Linked DNA regions of Yarrowia lipolytica. The protein of the gene in region 2 purifies or fractionates together with the protein of the main gene of each other region. This does not show direct contact. Links are inferred from orthologs where the notes say so. Each region holds a gene or a part of one and is shown on either strand. Other genes may lie near its edges.

Region 1 (4,144 bases), on a different chromosome or scaffold from region 2:
TCAATGGTGGAGGGCAGTGAAGAGGACTTCCATGCTATGGTGGGATGGGAAGAACTTCATGAGACCAACGAGTTGGACGTGGAAAACATGGACGAGGAGGTGTCGATTCCGGTCCCCAAACGCATCCCTCAGACACACGCACATCATCCACACCAACCGCCTCCAGATCTGCACTTGAAGGGTCTTCCTGTTGTTATCACGCACGTAAAGGAGGATATTTACAATGAGGATCCCGAAAACGATCCTCGGAAAGTGGTTTTGGAGGATATAATCGGCCTGGCCAAGATTGAGAGCATTGGCTGCGACTTCATAATCGCCACTCCCGGGCTGAGTTTGCAGTTGTAGTGACATAACAGGATTACCATTGACATAAAGGAACTTTTTTCTCTCTCGTCTCTCTCAACGCTTCAAACAGCTTCATAATATCTACTAATAGTGGTTATACCAAGTAATCTATTCCAACAAACACAGCAAGACATCTTCACCAGTTTAGCTACAAGTGTGTCTTAATATAGCCTGACAGCTTCTTCCCTACTTGCCCAACCTACAGTATGTACAATACTACAGCAGGTACGAGTACAATACCCAACAGTGACACAGACACAGGAAACACATGATACCAAATCTACTTTGTCACATATTGCTCCAGTAATACGGCCAATTTACACTCAACCTACTTGTACTCGTTGTTCCAATAACAGCTCCATACAACCTACTTATACATGCTACCTAGTAGTTGTTCCTCCTTAAACAATCTGGTAGTTGTCCGACGTCACTCGGGTCACCTCTTGGTAGGGGATGTTTTCGTCCTCGGCAGTGGCAGAGAAGACGTTGAGAATCTTGACGTTGCCCACTGTGGTCTCAGGGTCGTTGAGAGTGAAGGAAACCTCCATGGGGAAGAACTCGTCCTCCTGGTCGGCCTCAGCGGTGAACTCAAAGGCACCGGTAGAGGTGTCACCATCAGCAGTGATCTCAGGAATGATCCACTCGAGATGGTCGTCGAACTGGTCCCAGGTGATGGAGGAGTCGGAGATGTGAGCGTTGGAGGAGACCAGAGGCACAATGACAGACACGTTGGTCATCTTGCCGGTGAAACCCTCAGAGACCTCGTACTCCAGGGTCACGTCGTAGAAGCCGGGGTCCGACTTCGCAAACCAGCAGTTGAAGGTCAGAGGAACAGCCTCTTCCGGTGCGTTAGCAGAGTATCTCAGGACGCCGAGAGCAGCGCCGTTAGAGGGGAAGCCTCGAGAGGGGTCCTTGAGACCGATGATCTGGCGCGAGGAGAACAGCGCCTTGTCCACGTTGGGATGGGTTCGGTACTTGACGCCGGGGGCGTTAGCCTCGAGCGCGATTCGGATCTTTGTGTGGTCGGGGTTGCCGATTCTCAGCTGTACGTCTCCCTTGACCTCAGCGCTCTTAACAGAGCCGTCTCGACCGAGAGTCGCGGTGACAACCTCGGCGACAGTGAGATGAACGCCCTGGACCTCGGGATTGTAGGCAGAGGGAGCTGCTGCTGCGGGGGCAGTCTGCTGCTGCGGCTTTGACTTGGGGGTGGGCACGGCGATGTCAGCGTTAGCCAGCAGAGAAGCAGAGGGGCTGTCATCGAATCCGCCCTTCTTCTTGCCGAGCTGCATGCCCTTTCCTCGAGGAGCACGGGGCTTGTGGGTTGTCTCGGGGATAGGTGCGGGAGCAGCAGCGGGTTGCACAAACGAAGGAGCGGGGGCCTGGAAGGCGGGGGCCTGGAAAGATCCATGACCTCCAGCGTTTCCGGGCAGACCTCGCTTGGCAGCCTCCTTTCGCTGCATCTCCAGCTGCTTGGCCTTTCGCTTTCGATCTTCGGTGGCCTCCAGCTCCTTGTTTCGCTCAATGATTTCCTGAATCTTCTCCTCGTGGGACTCCATTTCCAAAAACGTCTGGATCTGCTGCAGAGACAGGTTTTCCCGGTAGCCCTGGGACACCACCTCGTCAAAGGCGCCGAGCAGGTCGAATGCGGCCAGCAGAATCTCCCGCTCATCCACGACACGTACCAACGAAGTGACCACCTGGACTAGCAGTCTCAGAGTCTCAATGTCCTGCAGAATGTTGGACTGACGGTTGGTGATCAAAACCACGTACAGCTCCTCCAGTGGCTGGTAAACGTATCGAACATTGTCGTGCTCCACGGTTGTGTGTTGTTTGGAGCCCTGGATGAGCTTGGGGAAGATGGCCAGCAGTCCGGCGACCTTCTCTTTGGGCAGATCTCGGAATTGACGCGAGATGATGGCTTTGCCGCCACGTGAGCATATGGATGCGGCTAAAACGACCTGTGTTAGTATATGCGCGAGCGATTCGGATCCGTCCAATTGCTTACCATTTTCCTCCTTTGATCGTGATGTGTGCTGGTGTGCTGATGTGTTGTCCTTGTTAGAGTTCGAGGTTGGAATATTGACAGAAACACTGGGTTCGCCCACAGAGGTTAGGAGTCACGTGTTTAAGCTCAACTTGTGCGGCTGGGAGTACCGATGGGAGTATGGGAGGGTGACAGGCAAATGTTGCCGTAACAAGAAGGAGTGTATTTGAAGGACACAGGTATGACACCAGTACGCGTATTTGTCGAACAAACGGATTTGACAATCTATTCTGAGCGTTCTTGGAGTGTTGATACTCCATATTTCCAAGTCGTCATCCAGTAAACGCGTCAAGTTGAGATTGTCGTAACTCTCCGTTAACTCTAGACACTGAAGTGTCGTGGAGAGTGGTCTGGAACGAGTTAATCACACCGTACGTACTGTCCTCTCCATGTTACACAGCTACTGGTACAGCACTTTGTTCTGTGGCGCGGGAGTCACGCTTTCTTATAGTGTGATTCCTTTCATATGTCGGCTATCAGCTCTCTCCATTTAGGGGCACCCTCATCACATGGGCTTGTTTCATTAAAGGGAGCGAGTCCTTAATTTCTTTCAGATTAGCGACAAGTAAAACAAATACTTACATACATACTCAGTATAGTAGGGACAACCAAATACGGTGCCCAGTAACCGCCACACCACTAGAAGTGTTATAGGGCTTAAAAGCGACTGAAACCCCTCTATAAAACCCCACTCGCTTCACCTCACCTGTTGTTTTTTATCATCCCACCACCATCCCACCACCATCCCATCTGCGCCATACACCCTGGAACAATAATATCTCCACGTCATATGCACGCTGCAACTCTATGTATTTACTTGGGTTTAATTTCATCTCCAGAACAAAACATTGAAAATAGCCAACCTCAACACGCTCACAGGGAGCATTCTAACACTGGCTATAGACTGTAAGAGCACACTACACGCCCGTGCGTAGTCCGGACCGACTCGGAAGCTTCACCACACCCCCAGGAACCGCTTCATAGGCGCAGACACGCACTCACAGCAGATCAGAACACACCATGACCGATATCGACACTCCTGCGTCGCCTTTGACGCCCAACTCCAAGGCACACCTCGAGGTGATTGCATACAACCAGTACCTCCAGGCCAAAGAGCAGATCCAGCAGCTGGAACACGAGCTGACGGAGTTTCAGGAGTCATCCAAGGAGCTGGAACTCGAACTGGAGCAGGAACTGGCTGAAAGTGATAAGCGACAGGCCAAACTAGAGGACAGAATTAGCGCACTTGAATCCGAGGTTACGGAATGGAGAAAGAAGGCTCTGGACGCCCATAAGGAGGCAGCCTCTACACAACAGGCTCTACAAAGAGAAGTGAGCAGTCTACGGGACGCCCACAAGCTGGTGAAGGAACGGCTGAGAGAAACGGAGAACGCCAACGACGACATTGAACAACGGGAACGAATCACATGCTCCACCCTGGAAGATATTCAGACTCGCTACAATGAAGCATTGGAGAACGTGGCAATCCTGGAAGCTGAACTAGCAGCCAAGGATGTGCTGATTGGAGAGCACCACCGGGCCAAGGAAGAGATAAAGGATCTGACAGAGGAGCTGGAACACACCAGAAAGAAACTGGCGATCCGGGATCAAGAGCTGGAGGATGCCAACAAGCGAATCATGAACCCTCCTCCAGCGACAAACCACAACGCCACCACGCACCGACGGGCTGTTTCTGGAACCGCCCAGGTCTCGGCAGAGGGTTACCTTACCCCCCTTACTTCTACAGGGGCCAAA
Region 2 (5,488 bases):
TGAGTTAGTCTATGAATGGGGGTTGTGGTCGTGTGCCTCGCGACCTTGACGGGATCGAACTACTCCGAGGCAATAAACAACAGTCTGAGAGAATAGGGAAAAGCGAAGACATGTGAGATCTGATTCCAAAGGATTCTGCGTGATACAGACATATCCCCTGCCGGCTGGGAATACCATGTCAAAGTCATTGTACGTCAGAGACTTACTGTAGCTTCCCTTCCACAGTAATGGAGTGGTCCGGTATAGCTGGTATCACAAGCATCGTTCATCAATCGTCCAGGGAATGTGGCACCTCCACTCTCGTATCGAATCGCTCTCCAGAATTTCTGCATTCACTCCTGTAACTGTCGTCTTGTAGTGTACCTCCTGTCCGGTCAAATCACAAGTCCAAAGCCATAGCTCGAGCCACAAAGCCGCCGTCTCATACTTACACCAAAAATGATACCGTAAGGGAGCAATGCCTCAAAAGGAATAGCCATTTTGTCGTGTGTCTGGTTGTGTGTTAGAAGCTGTGATGTCACTGCAAGCCGAGTTACCCAAATTTTGATTGGTGGGAGGGACGCCCTCCTAACCCTGACTTTGGAACTTTGTTTAGTAAGCGATGAGACCATTGAAAGAGATCTACTCAGCGTGATAACAAACAAAGGCACGATCAAACAGTCACATGATATAAATTACTGCTACATTCAAAAACAACCATCTCAAACCATTTCTCTACACCATCTCGACAACTGGACTATTCATACCTCTTCTACACACTTTAACGTGACATGATATCCAAGTAAACTGTTGGGAGTTAAACTAAAAATACTGTAGTTTTAGAGTAAACTCTTCGACCTCGAGCTGGACAAGGAGCTGGATATCCCCCCTGGATACTTAATCACTGTGCAATACTGTACAAGTACAAGTACACTGGATACTTCCTACAATATGTACAATATGTAACTCACCACTTCCACGGTGTACTCCGCAACAGCTCGTGCCATGCTCTCAATCTACTTATACAATGATATTTATTTAACATGACCTATTTCTACGTCCACCTCTAGCATTCCCTCTTACAAGGTGTTGGCAGCCTCATCAACCTCCTCCTGCATCTTGACCTCAACCTCAACCTCAGCCTCAGCCTCGGTCTCGGATAACTCATCCACAGCCGCGGGGTTGGGCTTCTCGGGTTGCACGTTAGTCACGGCCTCGACCTTGCCGTCCTCCTTGATCTCGACAGGAGCTCCCAGCTTGGGTTCGGCAGCCTTCTCAGCGGGCTTCTCCTCAAAATCAATCAGGTTGCCCTGAGGGAACTTGTCGGGTTCTTCACTGGGGGAAGAAATGGACTCGGCAATCTTGTCCTTACCGTTGGCGACCAGGGAAGCCTTCCACTGACCTACAGACTTCTCCACGTTACCCTTTCCGTACGACAGAGCAACGAGAGCAGCCTCCGAGTGTCGACCAGTCTTGTTAAGCAGATCAACACACTGCTTCACGGCACCGATGGACCACAGGGCGTTGAAGGCAACGTTGTACTTGCCAGCATCGGCAGCCTTGTCAGCCACCCACTCCATGCCGGCTCGGTTTCCGGTGGCCGAGTACAGCAGCAGCAGAGACTCGACCTCGGCGATGGAAGAAGACTTGAAACACTTCTCGGCCAGGTCGAAGTTCCAGGCGGCAGTGGCAGCGTCTCCAAGCAGCTTCCATCGGTGGTCTTGAGGCGATCGCTCAGCAATCTCAGAGGCCACGGACAGGTCGTTAAGTGCAAGGGCAAGATCAAACTTGTGCTCGTCGTCGGTGCTCACCTCCAAAGCAAGCTCCTTGAAGCCCTGGGCCTCCAGGAACTTGGCCACCTTAGACAGCTCCTCCTCAGGGATTGCAGGGAGGAAGTCCGACTGCGCAAGCTCGACGTCGCCTCGCAGAACAACAGTCTGGTATTCAACGAGAGGCACAGACAATCGGTACGACGACACATTGACATCCTTGTCACACAGGTAGATACGCGAGTCCTTGGACACAAAGCCAAGCAGGTACTTGGCCTTATCGAAATGTGCGACTGTGTATGTGACGCCGCCAACCAGGTAGTTGAGTCGGTTGACGGACGAGGTGTAGACGAAGCAGTCGAGCAGCCACTCTCCGGACCGAACGGAGTCGGAAATTTCGTGCAGCAGCTCAAACGACTCCTCCACACCGTCCTCGTCCACGTTCTCGGCCTCATCAACCGCGTCCTTGTTGTATCGCAGAACGTAGAAGGCGTCGGCCGAGGTGATGGCGACCAGCTCGCCAGAGTCAGACCAGTGCACGCCGGTGACACCCTCCACGTCAATTCGTCGCACCAGCTGGCCAGTCTCCCACGAGTACATGGCGACAAAGCCATGACCCTTCACACCGAGCAGGGTACCACCGAAGATGCCCTCAACGGAAAAATTGGGGTCTACATGGCCCAATGGCCGCTCCTTGAAGTTCTTGTAGACTCGCACGGAGCTGGGGGACTCAAGCACAGCGTACTCGCTGGAGTCCTGGGCCCAAACAAAGTCCAGACCGGAGCCGTAAGCCTTGTTTCGCCATGCCAGAGCGGTGTAGATGATGTACTCACCGTCACCAACAACAGCCACAAATCGGCCGTTGGGGGAGTGTCGCAGGAAGGTGGGGAAAACCTCGACGGATCCCAGCTCCTTGGGCACCAGAGCAAGGGATTCGCCGTCCTTGGCGTCCTCGCCCTTAACCTGAGCGGAATAGACTTCTCCGTGCTTGCTCCACACCAGCTTTCCAGAGCTGTCCAGAGAGATGGCAGGGTCCTCCTTACCAAGACGGAGGACAACCGCGCCGGCATCAAAACCGACAGCCACGAGGTTGGAGCCTCGCTTGACACCCACACACCAGGCTCGCTCATAGCTGTAGTTGAGGGTCTGCTCGAGCTGGTAGGTGTTAGCGTTCCACACCTTGACGGTATTGTCCTCGGCACCAGAGATGATGACGGGCAGATCGGGATGGAAGACAGCGAAGGACACGTTGTTAGTGTGGCCCTCCATGGTGGCGACGCAGGCCTTGGTCTGGTAGTCCCACACCTTGACGGTCTTATCGTCCGAAGATGTGATGAGGTAGGGCTTGTCAGCACCGGGATAGTATTCGACGAAGTTGACGCCGGCGGTGGCATGGGCCTCGAGGGTGAAGTTGGGCCGCGACACGGTGGAGGCGCCCGACAGAGACCACACCTTGACGGTTCGATCCAGACATGCGGAGGCAAATGTGTTTGTGTCCTTGGGGTTGAAGGCCACGTACATGATGTAGTGGCTGTGGCCCAGGTACTGTCGCTCCATGGTCCAGTTTGTGTCCCAGTTCCACAGCCGGATGGACATGTCGTCGCCGGCGGTCAGCACGTAGGGCAGGGTGGGATGAACGGTGATGACACGGATGTAGTCGGGGTGGGCCTCAAACTGGGCCTCCTTGGCTCCAGTGTTGTAGTTGAAGACTCGCACAATAAAGTCGTCGGAGCCAACAATGATCCAGTTTTTTCGGGCAATGAACCGACCGGCTCGAAGAGGAACATCTGCCACCTCGATGCTCTTGACCACCGTCTGTGTCTCGTAGTTCCAGATCTGGGCCACTCCCGAGTACAGAGTGGTGAGTAACCATGGCTCAGTGGGGTGGAAATCGATTCCCTTGACTCGGTCAGAACGAGTCTGCGAGTGTCGCTGTGTTAGTCGTCGTCATGGCCGCGTGAATCGCTCAATTACTCACCTTGATTTCGAGCTTCATGGTGTAGTGCTACGCAGAGTGCAATAGAGAGTTTCATACGTGTACTTGTAGTGTTCGGTAGGGTAAGTAGGAGGAGTGATGGCGCTGGGAAATGCTCTGCTCAAAGAAACATCTCCGGGGGACACAATATTGTATAATAGAGATGATAAATGGACAATAGGAAGCTTGCTCTGAATGTTCCAGTTCTCTCTCAAGATAAATACTTCCAAGTCCCACAACTTTTGGCACCAATTACGTCTACACACACACCTGATGTACAGTGTACTCGTGCTCGCCTATTGATCTCACACCACAATATGTACACGTAATGTCCCAACACCCCCAAAGGACCACGGTTTTTACCTTGGTGCTGCACGATTTTGGCTTCCGTTTTACGTGTCAGCCAAAATTCATATCGGTAGGAGATTGCACAATGACGGGAGATTGTAGAGGATAAGCGTGGAGATAAAAAGGAAGAGAATTGTATGTGAGGAAAAACGGACAGTATATATACTCTTTTGCAGCACCTTCTATTGCTCCCAAACACCTCCTATACCAGTACCAAAGCGTCAGCCCCACCCTGGACTCAGTCGGATGCACGTGAAGCCGCCGGCTTAACCTTTTTGCTACATTCCACCTCACTCACCAACTTATCATCACACGTTGTCCTACTTCTTCAACTACTAATCATGTGGATTGTCAACTGGTGTGAGTATGGATGGAATACAGGGGCACTGATTGGTCGCTTGTGTTTGTGTACTTGTTACACAGACGCGGAGGCTAGCGGAAAAAAAGAAATCAGATCAAGTGGCGATACACGATACACGACAAGCTCTACAGCGACACGGGGGCTTCGTGACTTGAAATCCCGGAGGTGAAAACACAGTTAACAGAGACTGGCGACTTAGGGCTGTTCCAGAGACTCAAAAACAGGTACCGATGCCGTTTTTTGCCCCTGTTGCATTCATCAAGTTGCGGTTTGATGCCGTTCAGGGTTGCTCAACCCCCTGAAGATACACGGTTGCTCTGCTGTTATACCCTAAACAGTCATACGGTGGTATTCAACACAAGCAAACTCTCTGTGCCGTTATTGTACTGCTTAAACAGCAAGTCTGCTATCGTATCGCCGCTCAATTTCGCTTCACTCGCTTTTTGATTTGCCCCCCTTTTGCTAACCTAGTCTACGACGTTCTGTCCTCTCTCGGACTATGGAACAAGAACGCCAAGCTGCTCTTCCTCGGTCTCGATAACGCCGGAAAGACCACCCTGCTGCACATGCTCAAGAACGACCGAATGGCCGTCTCTAACCCCACCGTGCACCCCACCTCCGAGGAGTTGTCCATCGGCAACTGTAAATTCACAACCTTTGATCTCGGTGGACATATCCAGGCCCGACGAGTGTGGAAGGACTACTTTCCCGAGGTCAACGGCATTGTTTTCCTCGTCGATGCCGCCGACCCTACTCGATTCGCCGAGTCCAAGGCCGAGCTCGACTCTCTGCTTGCCATTGAGCAGCTCAAGACTGTGCCCTTCTTGATTCTTGGAAACAAGATCGACATGCCCCAGGCCGTTTCCGAGCTCGAGCTCAAGGACGCCCTTGGACTGTACCAGACCACCGGTAAGGGCAAGGTGCCTCTTGAAGGCAACATCCGACCCATCGAGATTTTCATGTGCTCCATTGTCATGCGGCAGGGCTACGGAGACGGTATTCGATGGCTGTCTCAGTATGTTTAGAGGGAATAAATTATTGTATTCTGATTGTGAT
Region 3 (6,045 bases), on a different chromosome or scaffold from region 2:
CAGTGTGATACCACCGCTAACACAGTGTCATCTCGCAACACAGACAGCCACGCTCAGAGAAGCGACTTCAAACAACCAACCTACTTTCAACCAAACTACACTTATGCCCAGAGTCCTTCAATCGCTCACGGCTCCCGTCCCAGTCGCCACTCGATTGGGTCGCCCACTGAACTCCACCAGAGGTTTCTGCCATCCAGTGGTTATCAGCCTACCGCTGGATCTTCTCAGAAGTCGTCCCCCCTACAGACTGGCTACATTGACGGTCTATATTCGACCAAGGCCTCATCCCGGCCTTCTGAATCCCATTACCCTTTCAGCCCAGACCACTATCAGGGAATCCAGCTGGACGAGAATGGCCGAGTTGTGGGAACAAGCCTGTCATTAACAACTCCTCCAACTCCCTCTGGCCCAAGCTACCAGGGCGATTTCCAAAAATACTCACATCAGGAGACTCCTGCGCATCTCCCCTTTGAGCCACAGTCGTCTTCGCTGACCCGGCCCTATCAGTCCCGACACTCGAGTCTGGGCCTTGGACAGCCTGTCAGCTATCTACAGAGTCTTTCCTCGGCTCAATCTCAGAGTCGCAAACGTCACTCTCTACCCGCTCCCTCTGTCGCCCCCCTGCCTGAGGATGGAGGCCCCATTCCGGACGGAAAAGTAATGGACGACCCACACGCCATTGACGCTCACGATCTTTTCTGGGCCAAGACAATCACACCCGAGTTCCACAGTGTCGTCGAGCGGAAACGAAAGGAGAACAAGATCGACAGCTACAATCCCTTTGCAACATTCAACCAGTGGAACGCTTGTGCTGTTTACGAGCGCAAAAACAAGCACACTCTGCCACAGTACAAGGTGCGCAAGCTGGCGGACGGCACTCGCGGCATTTTGAAGTACGCCGTTGAGAGCAAGGTCCCTGAGCACCTGCGGTGTCTTCCCTCTTCGGAGTTGCTGAACTCGTGCTATGATTGTGGACAGAGAGGGGAACATGCTGCGACCTGCGAGTTCCATCGCGAGGTTGGCGATGAGAGTTATGTTCCCGTCAGTGGCGATCCTGAGAATCGGAAGCGGAGGTGCGTGGGAGGTGGGGGCAGCAACACTTTTGCTGCAGATTACAACTACAAAGACCCATCTGAGAACAAGGAGGACCACTTTGTGACCAAAGCCTGGGACACAGTCAAGTGGAATGTGGTGAAGCGGCCGATTATGGCGATGCGGGCGAGAAGAAGGCGATAGAACTAGGAGGGTGGGGGGAAGACCGAACTATGATCGAGAGAGCGATCAATTTCAGCCCATAGAACTATCCGTAGCGACTGCGGCAACTACGCGTCATGATGAGTGATACGGGGTGGGGTCGTTAATGTTTTGCTGCAGTTGAGCTCTGTGCTGAATGTGATGGTATTCAGTGAAGTATCTTCATAATTAATGGGGTATATATAAAGTGTGTGTTTTAGGGGCGGTTTCAGTGGTATATACCTGTTTCTATCAGAAGCAGTCTTTGCTTGTTGATGGTAAATATGGATAGTTAAAATAAAAAATAAAAAAACAATAGAGACTTGTTGGTTGTGTCTACCTTATGTTTTTTTTCGCCGTAGTCTCAGAACTGTCTCAGAACTGAGTCTGTACAACAGTTGGATCAGGTGGGTGAAAAGATGGTCGATTGACTGGATGTTGGTGATTGGTGATGATCACGTCTTTGAGACTCTACTGTGAAATTTACAGCTCATTTTGATCAAAACTGGTTGGTTTTGCATCACATGAGTGCGCAGGAGTTTTGATAGTTGCAGGAGAGGAGGTGAATGGGGAGAGGTTGGAGAATGTGGTTGATTTTTCCGAGAGTCTCAGAAATTTGGCGGCATGTTTAGATCGTTGAGATTTTTGTGATTTTTCCAATTTTTTCCCTTTTTTTTTTCTGATTTTTCCTCATTTTCTCCATTTTTCCCCATTTTTTCCGATTATACACCCATGAACGTCCTGTTCCACATCTCCAATATTTCACCACCGGGTCTCGAAACTTTATTTACGCCGTACAATAAATTAGGGTGTTTTGGCGCGATGGAGGATCGGTTTAAATGGTAATTCTGGGGAGATAGAAATCCGCAAAATTATTACTTTCAAAGACAATGTTGTGTTATATTTAATGTAATTTTTCCCACATTTTTCCCCATTTTTTTCACTTTTTCAGGGTCTATTTCAACTTCTACCTGTATAACCGTATAACCGCACGTCGGATGTACTGTACTTGTACATAGAGCCAGATCAGAGGGCTCAGAAAAGGCGCTCGCTGGGTGTAAAAAGCAGAAAAAAATGGGTTAAACACATATTATAGCGATTTCATATTTCTTTTCCTTGCCCAATTTATTTTGCCGTCCAAAAAAGTGCCCTTTTTCGACCCACAGCTCCGGCACCACTCCTCCCATCCATTCCACCTATCCTACCCTAACCCTAACGAAAGAAACACGTCAGATACAGTTGTTACACCGACACACAGCACACATACATTGTCATCCTACACCACTCCCCACAATGTCAGCGCTCAGCTACAAGAAAAACGACGACATTGAGTCGGGCGCGCTGGACAAGATGACCGTGTACCAGGAGTGTCAGCGGGCGTTTGCCGAGTCGCCCATCAACGCGCGAAAGTGCCGAAAGCTGCTGGCCAAGCTGATCCACCTGCTCACCATCGGCGAGACCTTCAGTGAGTTTGAGGCCACGGGTCTGTTCATCGCCGTGTCCAAGCTGTTCCCCCATAAGGACCCGTCGCTGCGGCAGATTGTGTATCTGGCCATCAAGGAGCTGGTGCCTCTGTCCAACAACGACGTGATTATGGTCACCTCGTCCATCACCCGAGACGTGCAGGGCTCGTCGGACCTGATCTACAAACCCAATGCCATCCGAGCACTGGCGCGGGTCATTGACGGCTCGTTTGTGCAGGGCATTGAGCGGCTGATGAAAACGGCCATTGTCGACCGTCACACCTCCGTGTCGTCGGCCGCCCTCGTGTCGGCCTACCACCTGCTCCCCATCGCCAAGGACACCATTCGCCGATGGGCCGCCGAGGTCCAGGAGGCGGTCACGTCGCAGAAGAACTTCCCGGCGGGTGACCCCTGCCCAACTACGCCCCGGCCCCGCCGTGCTGGCCCCCTACCACGCCCTGTCGCTGCTGTACGAGCTGCGAGCACACGACCGAATGGCCCTCATCAAGCTCATCCAGCAGTTCTCCGGCGCCTCGGCCCACCTGCAGTCGCCCAACGCCAATGTCATGCTCATCCGATTCATCGCCAAGGCTGCCAACGACGGTGCCCACCGGCAACAGCTCGTGGCCCTCCTGGAACGATATCTCGGCCACAAATCCGACATGGTCGCCCTCGAGGCCGCCAAGGCCGTGCTCACCCTCCGAGACGTGAGCCCTAAGGAGGCCGCCTCCGCCATTGAGTCGCTGCGGGCCTTCCTGGCGTCTCCTCGAACCATTGCCCGGTTTGCAGCCATCCGAATCCTCAACCGGTTCGCGATGACCAACCCCGGCGCCGTGGCCGTGTGCAACGCGGAGATCCAGCCCTTGATCACCGACTCTAACCGGTCCATCGCCACCTACGCCATCACGGCGCTGCTCAAGACCGGCAATGAGGCCTCCGTCGACAAGCTGGTCACCCAGATCAGCGGGTTCATGTCCGACATCACCGACGAATTCCGAATTGTGGTCATCGATGCTGTCCGGTCGCTAGCGCTTAAGTTCCACGCTAAAAAGTCTACCATGCTGCAGTTCTTTGGCAACACCCTTCGGAACGATGGTGGCAGTGCCCAATACAAGGCTGCCGTGGTTGCCGCGCTGTTTGACATGATCCGGTACGTGCCCGACTGCAGAGACACCGCCCTCGGCATTCTGTGCGAGTTCATCGAGGACTGCGAGTACACCGAGATTGTTGTTTCCGTCTTGCATACTCTCGGACAGGAGGGCCCTGCCGCCGCCAACCCCACAGTGTACATTCGGTACATCTACAACCGAATCGTGCTTGAAAACGCTTTCATTCGAGCAGCTGCTGTCTCTGCACTGGCCAAGTTCGCGCTGGTGGATGACACCTCTGTCAAGAAGTCCGTCAAGGTGCTGCTGGAGCGATCTCTGGAGGATGAGACCGACGAGGTGCGAGACCGAGCTGTCATTGCGCTCAAGCTGCTCGAGTCTGGTGACCAGGCCCAGGCCAAGGCATACATTTCGCCCGAGTCGCGATTCTCTCTCCCCATTCTGGAGCACAAGCTGGCTCTGTATGTGACTGGGTCCGGTGCCGACTTTGACACGCCCTTTGACATGTCCTCTGTGCCTCTCATCACCGACCAGGAGGCCCGAGAGGCTGCTCTCAAGGCACACAGAGAGACCACCGAGGCCACCCCTGTGGTCAACGGCGGAGCTGGAGGACCCACCCCTGCTTCTGCGGCTGCTGCCACCACCGCCAACCTGGCGTCCAAGAGCAATTCTCACGAGGCCGCTATCCAGCGTGCCGAGAAGTACGCTGCCGAGCTGGCCGCTATTCCCGATCTGGCAGCCTTTGGCACTCCTCTCAAGTCTTCTCTTGCGGTGGCTCTCACCGAGTCCGAGACTGAGTTTGTCGTGACTGCCATCAAACACATTTTCCCCAGCCACGTGGTGCTGCAGTACGACGTGCACAACACGCTTCCCGACGCACAGCTCAGCAACGTGTCAGTGGTGGCGTCTATTGAGGACGACAGCGAGGAGCTGGTGGAGGAGTTCATTCTTCCTGTGGACGAGCTTGGTCCCGATTCTCACGGCACCGTCTACGTGGCCCTCGAGAAGACCGAGGACCATCTTGCTGTTGCATCGTTTGAGAACATTCTCAAGTTCACTCTCCATGACATCAACAAGACCACCGGCGAGGTGTCTGAGGACGGCGACGAGGACGAGTACCAGATTGAGAACCTGGTGCTGGGTGCTGGCGACTACCTCGAGGGTGGCTTCATCGGCTCGTTTGACCACCTGTGGGACGAGCTGGCCAACACCGAGGCGGTTGACACTGCCACTCTGTCCGAATACAAGGGTCTGGAGGAAGCTGTCCAGTTTCTCATTTCACAGCTGTCTCTCACTCCTCTGGAGTCGTCTGATGAGGTCACCTCGGCTTCCACACATACTCTGAAGCTGTTTGGAAAGACTCTGACTGGCGAGAAGGTGATTGTGCAGATCAAGATGGCCGCCTCGCAGCGAACAGGAGTTGTGGTGCAGTGCAAGGCTAGATCGGGTGATGAGGAAGTGGCCGAGTTGGTTGCTGGATTTGTGGGCTCGTTGTAAGTGCGTCTTTGTTAATGAGCGAACAGGCCAGATAAGTGGCCTTTGGTTAGTAAGATATATAGTGAAGGATTATTGCAAGTTTGGTGTAGTAGGTGTGATTGGGCTCTGTGGATGATGATGGCTAGAACGTCCACGTGAAGGGCTGAGGAGCATGCTTTAGGAGGATGATTCAGCTAGGGAACCTGCTCAAAAGGATGATTCATTGTTTCTATCCAATTCAAGTCCATTTCAACTGATTCTATCACGATTCAAGTTGTTTTTATCACGATTTAATGTGATTCTGTAATGTCACTCTGATAAGACCAATATTCCGCGAATTGGAGTTGTCCGAGTGAGATGCAGTTGAAAACTATTAGAGGCTTCTGGGCATGACTAGAATCCGATACCACCTTAGTAAAGTGTATTCGACATACTCTTAATCTGTAGTCTCAGGAAGCGAGAACAGTTCAAACTGACTTCAGCTTGTGACACCAATTAACCACATCCACACACAAACACCACGCCGAATTGGAGACAGAACATGATTGCGTCCGCCGCTTTGTTGTGTTTGTGTTGTTGGATTTGGGGCGAGTGATGTGAAGGAAGAAGAGTCGAAAAGCGCGAGGTGGGTGTTAAAGTAGAGTCGCCATAGTGTGGTAATGATGACTGGTCATATATGCATGTTTCCAAGTAAAGTTAAGTAAAAAGGGAGGACATTTTTTTTGCTATTATGGCTACGGAATGGAATTTTTGTATGACAAGAATGA

Evidence for each region. Proteins that work in one complex are often made in the same cells at the same time.
Region 1: the proteins of YALI1_C30119g (region 2) and YALI1_E38593g purify together in Saccharomyces cerevisiae (affinity purification with mass spectrometry; 6 studies listed by BioGRID). This does not show direct contact. The link is inferred for Yarrowia lipolytica from reciprocal best matches to the Saccharomyces cerevisiae genes SEC27 and RET2.
Region 3: the proteins of YALI1_C30119g (region 2) and YALI1_F04895g purify together in Saccharomyces cerevisiae (affinity purification with mass spectrometry; 6 studies listed by BioGRID). This does not show direct contact. The link is inferred for Yarrowia lipolytica from reciprocal best matches to the Saccharomyces cerevisiae genes SEC27 and SEC21.

Annotation. Positions count from the first base shown.
Region 1 is NC_090774.1:3,857,444-3,861,587, forward strand, and holds YALI1_E38593g (uncharacterized protein), read right to left. Parts: upstream 1,902-4,144; coding exon 747-1,901; downstream 1-746. Other genes in the region: YALI1_E38561g (uncharacterized protein), read left to right, coding at 1-345; YALI1_E38608g (uncharacterized protein), read left to right, coding at 3,410-4,144. UniProt on the Saccharomyces cerevisiae protein: The coatomer is a cytosolic protein complex that binds to dilysine motifs and reversibly associates with Golgi non-clathrin-coated vesicles, which further mediate biosynthetic protein transport from the ER, via the Golgi up to the trans Golgi network.
Region 2 is NC_090772.1:3,008,653-3,014,140, forward strand, and holds YALI1_C30119g (uncharacterized protein), read right to left. Parts: upstream 3,345-5,488; coding exon 1,059-3,344; downstream 1-1,058. Other genes in the region: YALI1_C30086g (uncharacterized protein), read right to left, coding at 432-479; YALI1_C30130g (uncharacterized protein), read left to right, coding at 4,413-4,431, 4,904-5,457. UniProt on the Saccharomyces cerevisiae protein: The coatomer is a cytosolic protein complex that binds to dilysine motifs and reversibly associates with Golgi non-clathrin-coated vesicles, which further mediate biosynthetic protein transport from the ER, via the Golgi up to the trans Golgi network.
Region 3 is NC_090775.1:486,711-492,755, reverse strand, and holds YALI1_F04895g (uncharacterized protein), read left to right. Parts: upstream 1-2,526; coding exon 2,527-3,133; intron 3,134-3,179; coding exon 3,180-5,299; downstream 5,300-6,045. Other genes in the region: YALI1_F04920g (uncharacterized protein), read left to right, coding at 661-1,236. UniProt on the Saccharomyces cerevisiae protein: The coatomer is a cytosolic protein complex that binds to dilysine motifs and reversibly associates with Golgi non-clathrin-coated vesicles, which further mediate biosynthetic protein transport from the ER, via the Golgi up to the trans Golgi network.